Nothobranchius furzeri: one gene and its partners. The protein of the gene in region 3 interacts with the protein of the main gene of each other region in a biochemical or structural test. Links are inferred from orthologs where the notes say so. Each region holds a gene or a part of one and is shown on either strand. Other genes may lie near its edges. The genes, in order: polb, aptx and xrcc1.

Region 1 (3,660 bases), on a different chromosome or scaffold from region 3:
CGATTTGAATAAATACATCAGAATGTAAAAAATTATTTAATAAAATAAAGAAGTAGAATAATTTTCAATATATGTATGGATAGAATGTCAGTTAGGTTTTCAAACTTGAATAATTGACTCAAGAAGCAATTCTGCAGGTGTTTGAAATCAGTTGTGTCACCACGGGTCCTTAAGGGTTAACATTACTTCAGTTTTGGTGTGTTTTTAAAACATCACATATGATTCCTTTTGTACGGCGAATAGGAAAGCAGCTTCCACCATTGCCAAGTACCCCAACAAGATTAAGAGTGGAGAAGAGGCCAAGAAACTGGTTGGTGATTTTTAGTTTTGTACACTTGCTGCATTTGTTAAGAAGTCACCGTTGTTTAATGTATTAACATACATGAAAAGTTGAAGAAAATCACTAATTTTCTTCAACTTTTCACAATTTTACAGGATGGAGTTGGAGCCAAAATAGCAGAAAAGATTGATGAGTTTCTTCAAACTGGCAAGTTAAGGAAACTTGAAAAGGTAAGTTTGGATATTTGCATAATGGATATAAGAGCAAACAACCAAATGTGTTTGGATTCAAACGCATCACACTGACTGATGTTTGCTACTTTAATATTTTCTACCAGATCCGAAACGATGACACCAGCTCTTCCATCAATTTCCTTACCAGAGTAACTGGAATTGGGTATTGTATTGTTATTGTGACTATTATTACAGTTAAAAAGTGTCGGGGGATGTTTACAATTAAATACACAATCACCACATCACTTGGTTTTCTGTCCACAGCCCGGCTGCCGCAAGGAAGTTCTTCGAGGAAGGGGTTAAGACTTTAGATGGTTTGTGAAACAAATTCCCCTAAAACAGTTTCTTGTTTAATTTCATTTCACATCCAATGACTCTGAGACTCTGATCTCCATTGTTTCCCATGAAGTTGTTGTGTACAAATTTGGTTTTATTTATATATTGATTCTCATGATACTCATGGTTTTTATTTTCAGATTTGAAAAAGGTAGAGCACAAGCTAAATCATCATCAAAAGATTGGGCTCAAGTAAGCTCAGCCAAAATACGCTCATCCCCCAGCACCACCACTTTCCTTCATTTTCTGTTATTATTTGATGGTTTTAAAAGTATTTTTAACATAATAAATGTGCTGGTGTTTTCTTTGGTACTTAGGTACTTTGAAGAATTTGAAAAAAGAATCCCACGAGCTGAAATGGAGAAGATGGAGGTGATTTTGAATATTTCTACTAAGGCTTTTATGCCTAGTTCTCTTACACTGATCCTGTGTTTTTGTTTAGACTCTTATTCTTGGAGAGTTGACAGAAATCGATACAGAATACATCGGAACAATTTGTGGAAGCTACAGGAGAGGTAACCCAAGTAGAAAATAATTAGTTTTTAATTTAAGGTTTTAGTTGAGCTTTTTAATTAAGGTGAATAATTTCCAGGTGCAGCATCGAGTGGTGATATTGATATTTTATTGACCCACCCAAAGTACACTTCTCAAACCGAGAAGCAGGTCAGACCACCGTTTATTCTGTGGCTCATTGTTTTCTAAAGTAAATGCAGCTTTCTCTCATTTAAGCGTTTCTCATTTTCCAGCCCAAACTCCTTCATGCTGTGGTTGAGCATTTGGAGTCTGTCGGCTTCGTCACCGACACTTTGTCCAAAGGAGACACCAAGTTCATGGTGAGGCCTGTTTTGTTCTCAGCTGAGGAAACACACCAACCCTCCGTTGTACATGACCCTTTTCTTAATGTCCTGGATCTAGTGGTTTTTTCCCCTTTTCTCTAGGGCGTCTGTCAGCTGCAGCCTAGTGATGATGATGAGGAAGAATATCTTCACAGGCGTATTGATATAAGGTTAATATGGAAGTCTTACAGATTTTAATACATTAGGTTGCTTCAAAATAACGATTGAGTAATTCTGTCTTTATTCAAATAGTTTTTTTCTTGCTAGTTATTGATTTTCATTTCATTTCAAAAGGTTGATTCCCAAGGACCAATACTACTGTGGAGTTCTGTATTTTACTGGAAGTGACATCTTTAACAAAAATATGAGGACTCATGCCCTGGAGAAGGGCTTCACTCTTAATGAGTACACCATAAGACCACTTGGTGTCACTGGTGAGTCGAACAAAGCTAGATACACTCAGAACTTTGTTCAAGTTCTCAATAACCAGACATCATATAGACAGACACCCTGTGGACTTGTGCTGCCGTGGCAGGCTGCCATCTTGGATGGGTCTCCATTCACCCCCAGTGCATTTATTTCTACTGTTTAATGTATTTACGCAAATAAAAATACTTTTATTATGCTTTTTCACAAAGTCAGACATATGGTATGGCATGATAGTTAAATATCTTTTTTGCACATTATAAAAACTATACAATAATTTAACTATACACTTAATATAAATATAAATACACACTACAGTACTGGGTGACAGAAACAGACAGGCAAATTGATGATATTTCAGTGCAGCTTATTTATTGTGCAAGTTTGAGTTAATTATGGTGATAGCTTTAGGAAAGAAGCTATCCCTGATTCCATTTGTTCTGGCCTGTATGGATCCGAAGCACCTGCCAGAGGACAGTAGGTTGAAAAGATGGTAGTTTTTAGCTGACCAGGAGAGGTCTGCAGAGATATGGATGCCAATACACTTCGAAGACTCCATTTGGTCCACAGATTGTCCATTGATGTGCAGGGGGGCAGGGGTCATTCTGTTCCGCCTGAGTTCCTTGGCCTTCCCAACGTTATGTTCCAGGTTGTTTAAAAATAATTACATAAAATAAACATAAAACATCTCAAATGTAAAATCCCAAAAGATAGGCTAGAAAAGTCCCACGTGATCTGTTTTCAATAGTGCGTTGGTTGATGCAACCATAAGCTGTACAAAATAAAGGCGTAGTTGCTCACTCTTCATTGACTCTTGGGTTTAGAGAATGGGGAACCCATCCAATGTGGTGGTGACACCGTTACACTCTCCAACGCCCAATGAGGTGTCTGTCTTTGTCTACATTATTTACAGCAGTTCATTCTTGTATCTTTTAATCTGTTGTAGGAGTGGCTGGGGAGCCTCTGCTGGTGGATAGTGAGAAAGACATCTTTGACTACATCCAGTACAAATACAGAGAGCCGAAGGATCGCAGCGAGTAAAACAATGCTACAGCTGTCCTGCAAACAAGATTTTACTAGAAACAAGTGTTATGCTTTTGCCATACCTTCATGACGCTGAGAAGAAAGTAACTGTGAAAATGTTTTTAATGATTTGTGTTGAAATATTCCTACCTAAATTGAAATGGTCATCACTCTTGTGAAAAAAACGCTGTATTTATATGTTGACTTTACACACAAACATCCTTGTGAACATAACTTCAACTTGTTTTTTATCATGTAAACAATAATTTATTTGACCTTATTTTTATTAGTTTTTATTGTTACAAAAAAACAAAATGTCTAGATAAGTCATTTTTTAACTGGAATGACCTATTGCATGTAATGTATGTGCTGAGACTCGTGTTTTTCTTGACGATGGTGCTCTTGAATACAGCTTACTTGTACTTTTATTTCTTATTTGGCTAAGTAGACAAAGGGGAAAGTGGTAGTAGACGTTATCATGCCAATATTGTGCTTGCTTATCTGTTTGGGGGAAAAATACATGTTC
Region 2 (2,436 bases), on a different chromosome or scaffold from region 3:
AAGCGCCTCTAAACGGCCCTTTTTGATTGGCAGCAAAACAACTGATCATCAAAATTAACGTGTATCATTTTACCAGAGATAATGCAGAGCTGAAAAGTATTGACACTGTATGTTAAAAATGACTTCTTGCTGAATTAGATGTAACGTTTTAACACAGGTGGAATTTGTGAATGTAATCTGGGCTCAGTGTGTTTATTATCATATTCTGTGTAACCCATTCACAGACTTGTTCTTTTTAATTAAGATTACTCACCAGCGTTTATTCTAAGTCTTCCTATTAGCTTTTAATTTTACATTTTAGACACATACCCGTGGTCGACGCTCCAGCTTTGCGCCATCTTGAAATAACAGTTGCTGTTTAGGGACACAAATTTGAACGCTTCGCGCGTTAGGATGATGTAACCTACAAAAACCAGCAGGGGGCAGCAATACACCGGCTTAGGTTTGCAGTTCCTCAAATTTTCTGTGATTCACTATTAATTAACTTTTGTAAATAAGGCAGCCATCTTTTAAAAATTCCTGAATATGCTTCATGTCGAGAGAAAAAACAGAATTTAGCTCTTAGATAGCCTTTAATGCAGCATATGTAACGATAATGGTAACAAAAACAACTTGGACTTAACTGTCCTAATGCCTGATGTGACACGTTGTTAAAAATTCAACTGAAATAATCGACACTTTTGTTATTTGAATATTTTTAGTTTTTGCTGAAACTAAACATTTTTCTACAAAATAGGAACAAAGAACTTGTAAAGTTCTTTAAACCAATGTGTCATTTGGAAAAGTGAGATTTGATGTGCTCCTTCAGAGCAGGTATGGTGGGAATCTCTCTGTGACACACGTGGCAGCGGAGATGCAGCTTCAACAGCTCACTGGTGCCTTCTTTAACCGTCACCCTCCCGTCTGTTTCAAGCATCCGGATGACGTCTGTAGGAAGAAAAACCCAGATGTGTGTTTTGGTTCGTCTTTCAAGACTGTTGAGCTACCAAAAACTCAATATTTGTTCTCACCGTGAGACGGCATGAAGTAGTCGGTTGTAAAAGAGTTCCAGTGTTTTTTGTTCTTCAAACAGGGAGAGTCGAAGTCCTGGCTGATCACATGGAGGTGAATGTGACTGAAACAGATTGTAGAATATTGATTTAAAGAGCAAGTCACCCCCTACCAGAGTTTTAAGCTTGGTTTATGCTTGATGCATTTACTTTCCGCTTGGTGATGCGGCTCGCGGATGGAACGCGCGTCACAACTCGCAGCGTTTATGGTTCATGCGGCTTGTCTCTGCGGTGAGCCAATATTCTCCCAAACTGTAGGGGGCAGCATGGAGCTCTACAGCATGCATCCAACACTACACCATAGTAGAAGTAGAAAGTACTGTTGTTTACAACATGGCATTCCAGCATTTTTTAACCGCGTCCTCGTCTTTTCCGACAGTGCGAGCTATTTCTCTCCAAGAATTATTAACAACGTGTTGATCACGGTGATCTCTGAGAGCTGAATCATACAAATGTCTGGATTAGGGTTGTCACGGTAACCGGTATAGCTGTAAACGGTAAAAAAAGTTGACAATAAAAATAACAGTCCAGTTTTTAAAAAACTAAATTATCTCGGTGGGTTTACCGTGGCCGCGGTTTAGGCGCGGTGACCCTTACCAGCCACCGTCGCTTCTGCTGAAGTTCCCGCGCACACGCACTTTTTAGTTTGCAACCAAAACTTTGAAGCTGAAATAACGGCCGAAGGAGGAGACGGCAGCGCCCAGGACATCCATCAGCCCTCAAAGAAGACTAAATCGGAAGTATGGGCATATTTTGGATTTCTGAAAAACGCTGAGGGACAGTTAATAGAAGACTGCTATCCCGTTTGCAGAAGGTGCAGGAAACAAGTGTCTGCAGAAGGCACTTTGAATCTAATGGCACATCTGTGTGACGATCACTCACGTCTCTACAGCCAGTGCAAGGTAAGTTAGCATTAGCATTTTAGCTTAAATGCATGACGTGAGGACTTTTGGTTGAGGGAGAATGCAACGAGTCACTATATGCTGCAGCCGCAGCGTCCTCTGCCAGCATTTAAACCGTGTCACGGACACCCTGTTGCTGGATGAAGCATCTTATTTGTTGATGATGAAGAGAAATATACAATTAGTTCCTTGTCATTGATTTGTTTACTTATTCAATGCCATTTATACTTGAACATTTGGATTTGATTACATAGTGTAGTAGTTATTTTAGTAATTTGTTTAAAGTGGCTATTTATTTTAAATACATATTTCTTAAGGTTGACTTGTACAGTGCTCAAGTCAAGTGTGGACTGGAGTTTTAGATTTTCATTTTGATAAAGAAGAAAACAAGTATATGAGAAAACAAGTGGTGTTTCTTTGATTTGTTTACATATTGTTTATGTTTCGAATGTTTGGATTTGTATCATTTAAACCTGCACTGACTA
Region 3 (3,660 bases):
GAAAGGTCTTGTAGAGATTTATGGCACGTTCAACCTTTATATAGCTTAACACACAAGTTCATCAACACACAAGCCACATCGACTGCACTGTGGCCCCAATCTTGAAACTAATTAACTCTAATAATGTCTGAGAGGTAAATCTGCTTTAAATTCCCCCTGGTCATCTGGGGAAAGGAGTTTACCGTCTAATTTAAATGCCAGGTGAGTCCTTGCTTCTCTGAAACATACATCAGCAGACATAACCTCGCTGGCAACATGGCTATTACCATAACCACCTGTGTTGTCGAAGAGGGAAGCATCTCCCTATGTAGGAGGTGTGTTGGTGTGTCAGCGCATGTTGTTCCGCCTTAATGATGCACCTCAGCACTTCCCTCCTGGCCTCACATTAACATAGAAATGAGAATCATGCACAAGTCCCTCCACAGTGATTACGTCCAGCCTCCATCTCCGCTCTTTTCCCTTCGACTACACCTACAGTATGAGATCTTCCAGCGTCATTGTTGTCCTCCCATCCATTTCCAAGAGCCTCATAAAGGTCAGGCCTTTAGTCCAATCCCTGGACTCCTGTTTCGTCCCCCAGCCCCTCTTCATTCATCCAGTCCTCTTCATCACCACGGCTGCTCCCTCTCAGTCTAGTTATGTGAGCTAATAGAATCGACCGCCACGTGTCGCAGCTACCTAATCTCAGCTCTTAGATGAGTTTATTACAGATATCATCATCTTTATGCATCGAGGGATTTGAGGTGAATGAAGGTTTTATTTCTGCTTTGATTAAAACCCTCACCTTGCTGATTAAAAGCATGTGTGGAGACTTAGTTTGTAGTTTCATTATGTGACATATTAATTATTCATTGCAACTTTTTATTTGTGGCATGCAGCCTTGAGGTTGTGAAGAGAACCTTGGATTAAAGTCTGTATGGAAAAACAAAAGGTAATAAAAGCTGAGCTTAAAGGGGAGATTAGTAGAATCAATGTTGATTTTTGGGAGATTGGTTTATTTGTTAGAGAAATAAAGGGTAATCGTGTTTTTCAAGGACCCGTATCGTGTTATTTTACACCTTCCAGAGCTAAGATAGGCACAATATGTCATATAATATTACCGTTGGCACTACTGACTCTGAGTAGTAGCAATTTGAATCGAAACCTTTACTTACTTACTTACTTAACCTTCTTTTCTGACCAAGTCCTCCAAACACACCCACATCACCCCGCTTCTCCTCCAGCTTCACTGGCTGCCAGTCAACTTCAGGGTTCATTTCAAGATCCTGGTTCTGGTCTATAGGGCCTTACATGGACAAGCGCCATCTTACATTGGTGACCTTCTTAGTCCGTACACCCCCAGCAGGTCCCTGAGGTCCAGTGATCAAAGCCTACTGGTTGTGCAGCACCAGGCTAAAGACCAAAGGTGACAGATCATTTGCTGCTGTGGCCCCCAGACTCTGGAACTCTCTCCCCCTGAGCCTGAGATCAGTGGACTCAGTGGTCTCCTTCAAAAAGCAGCTGAAGACTCACTTGTTCAACGTGGCTTTTGTATGACCTTCTTCACCACTCTCTTTATTCTGCTCTCCCCACCTATTCCACCTTCCTCAGGATCCACTGATTTCCCTCTTATCTATTCACTCTCTCTCTTTCTTAACATTTTTTAATCACAACTGTCTATTTTTTGCTAATTTTAAATATATTTTTAACCCTTTTCTAAATTATTTTTTATATTTCGACATTTTTTTGTTTTTGTGAAGCGCCTCGTGATTTTTATCTTCAGAGGCGCTATAGAAATGATATTTTCTTCTTCTTCTTAAAACCAAATTTTATGGTCAGTTTCACAAAACAATGAGTTTTGTTTTAAACCCAGTAACTCTTTCTAAAGTGTGAGGATGAAAACAGACAATTCTAGTGTAAAAGTTGATTACCTGGTTCGTCCACATCAGTCGAGCCACCGTACTCATCATCTTCATCCTTCTTTATTGGTGTCTTTTTAGGAGTCTCCTGCTTCTGTGGAGTCTAAACCATCCCAAACCCTGAGTTTTAAAACTGACAGATCTTTTTTCCCTCTTATTATATTTATCGTCTCACTTAGAAAACCAAATGGACCTTTGTTTTTATGTCCTCTTCACTCTGGTCATCCACCTCCATTTCGCTCTCCGAGCTCGACTCAGCTCCATCCATCAAATACCTGAAGGAATAAAGGAAACATTAAGTGTCAGGATGACAAAAGGCCAAAGAGCGAAAGAACAGCTGAACAATACATCTTAGGCTCCCTCTGGTTTACTTGTGTGACATGATTTAACGTGTAATCGGCTTTTGTCGGGCAGCGTTTGCATTTTGGAGTTTGGAAGCTGGCAGAAGGCGTGCTTAGGAATTTATTTTCATTCCAAAAATTCTGCAGTGATTCAGCAGTTCACTTCAGCTCAACGGTTCAGCTCAGTTCTTGAGAAAGCTTCAGAACGGCCATCAGAAGCAAAACCTCTCTGACCCATCAAAGCTTTTGACATGTCGTCAAAATCTTTTTGCACCTGCAAAGCTGATACAGCAAACAGTTCATGCAGAACAAGCTGATATTGTTTCAACTCCTTAAGAGTCCGTCTGACGCGCGGTTCCATCCAACTGTCGTGACCAGAGACATCTCTGGACTGGAGAAGTCGGTGCTGTGATCAATCTACTGGACCTGGGTGCCAGAGGTCATCCGACCTTTCTGACCTTAGGATCCATGAAGATGGTCTCCGAGAACGGGTGAAGTAGAAACACAGATAGCATCTGATGCCTTTTGCTAATAATCAACTTCATAGCTTAACGCAAACCAAATTCTTTACACCAAGAACTCAGCTTTCCTAAATACGGAAGTTCTGATAACATCACATTCACACATAGGCACCATACACTACATCTACTCCATCTAGATTCATCCATTCACAGTAAATATTAGTTAACTTGTCATGTTTTAATTGTTTGTGAATTAAATTCTTACTTTTATAAACCTGACTCTTTTCTGAATCAAAACGAAGTGTTTACAATCCCTGAATAAAACAAAGAATCCTAGAATCTTCTGATTAAACACCAAGACCAAGCAGGTTGATATTCTATACCAGGGATTCCCGAAGTGTGGTGTGCGCACCCCTGGGGGTGCGCGAGCTGCCGCTAGGGGGTGCGCGGGGTGAAAAGTGTAATGGCTGCGGAGCTCAGAGAAGTCTGTCATATGTCACCATTAGTGTAGAAACTCATTTGTGGGTGGGCCAAAGAAAAAGTAAGTGGGCCCAATAAATGTAATTGAAAACAAGTATATTTTTGCGCGCGTGTCCTCCACATGTGCCCTAGCTTCATAATAACAATGCGTCGAGCTTCAGCACTCTGGCCTGCGCACGCCGATATGTTCCGTATTTGATCATTTTTAACGGTGTTGGAGAAATCTGAAGGTGATGAGTCATTCTGGCAGATTGTAATTAACACCTGTCTCATGCAGGTGTTCTGACATTGTAAACCTCACACACAGAACATTGTGGATGTAACAAAATAACAAGAAATGATTCCCATTCAGGCTATTGACAGCGCGCTGAAGATCTGAAGTTCAGAGTGCGTCTGTCAGAGGTCAGACGCGTTCCGGCTGAACCACGGCTCACGGGTGCACATGTGAGCACATCTGGGCAGGGCAGAAGTCATTTTACA

Evidence for each region.
Region 1: the proteins of xrcc1 (region 3) and polb form a complex in vitro, tested with the Homo sapiens proteins (5 studies listed by BioGRID, with this or other methods). The link is inferred for Nothobranchius furzeri from reciprocal best matches to the Homo sapiens genes XRCC1 and POLB.
Region 2: the proteins of xrcc1 (region 3) and aptx form a complex in vitro, tested with the Homo sapiens proteins (2 studies listed by BioGRID). The link is inferred for Nothobranchius furzeri from reciprocal best matches to the Homo sapiens genes XRCC1 and APTX.

The regions. Positions count from the first base shown.
Region 1 is NC_091757.1:55,610,408-55,614,067, reverse strand, and holds part of polb (DNA polymerase beta), read left to right. Parts: intron 1-243; coding exon 244-310; intron 311-390; coding exon 391-510; intron 511-617; coding exon 618-676; intron 677-777; coding exon 778-827; intron 828-989; coding exon 990-1,041; intron 1,042-1,166; coding exon 1,167-1,221; intron 1,222-1,291; coding exon 1,292-1,364; intron 1,365-1,441; coding exon 1,442-1,512; intron 1,513-1,595; coding exon 1,596-1,682; intron 1,683-1,787; coding exon 1,788-1,855; intron 1,856-1,979; coding exon 1,980-2,119; intron 2,120-3,057; coding exon 3,058-3,152; 3' UTR 3,153-3,660.
Region 2 is NC_091746.1:79,989,249-79,991,684, forward strand, and holds the end of aptx (aprataxin), read right to left. Parts: intron 1,115-2,436; coding exon 1,011-1,114; intron 928-1,010; coding exon 773-927; 3' UTR 554-772; downstream 1-553. UniProt on the Homo sapiens protein: DNA-binding protein involved in single-strand DNA break repair, double-strand DNA break repair and base excision repair.
Region 3 is NC_091745.1:68,550,087-68,553,746, forward strand, and holds part of xrcc1 (DNA repair protein XRCC1), read right to left. Parts: intron 2,174-3,660; coding exon 2,092-2,173; intron 2,002-2,091; coding exon 1,911-2,001; intron 1-1,910. UniProt on the Homo sapiens protein: Scaffold protein involved in DNA single-strand break repair by mediating the assembly of DNA break repair protein complexes. Negatively regulates ADP-ribosyltransferase activity of PARP1 during base-excision repair in order to prevent excessive PARP1 activity.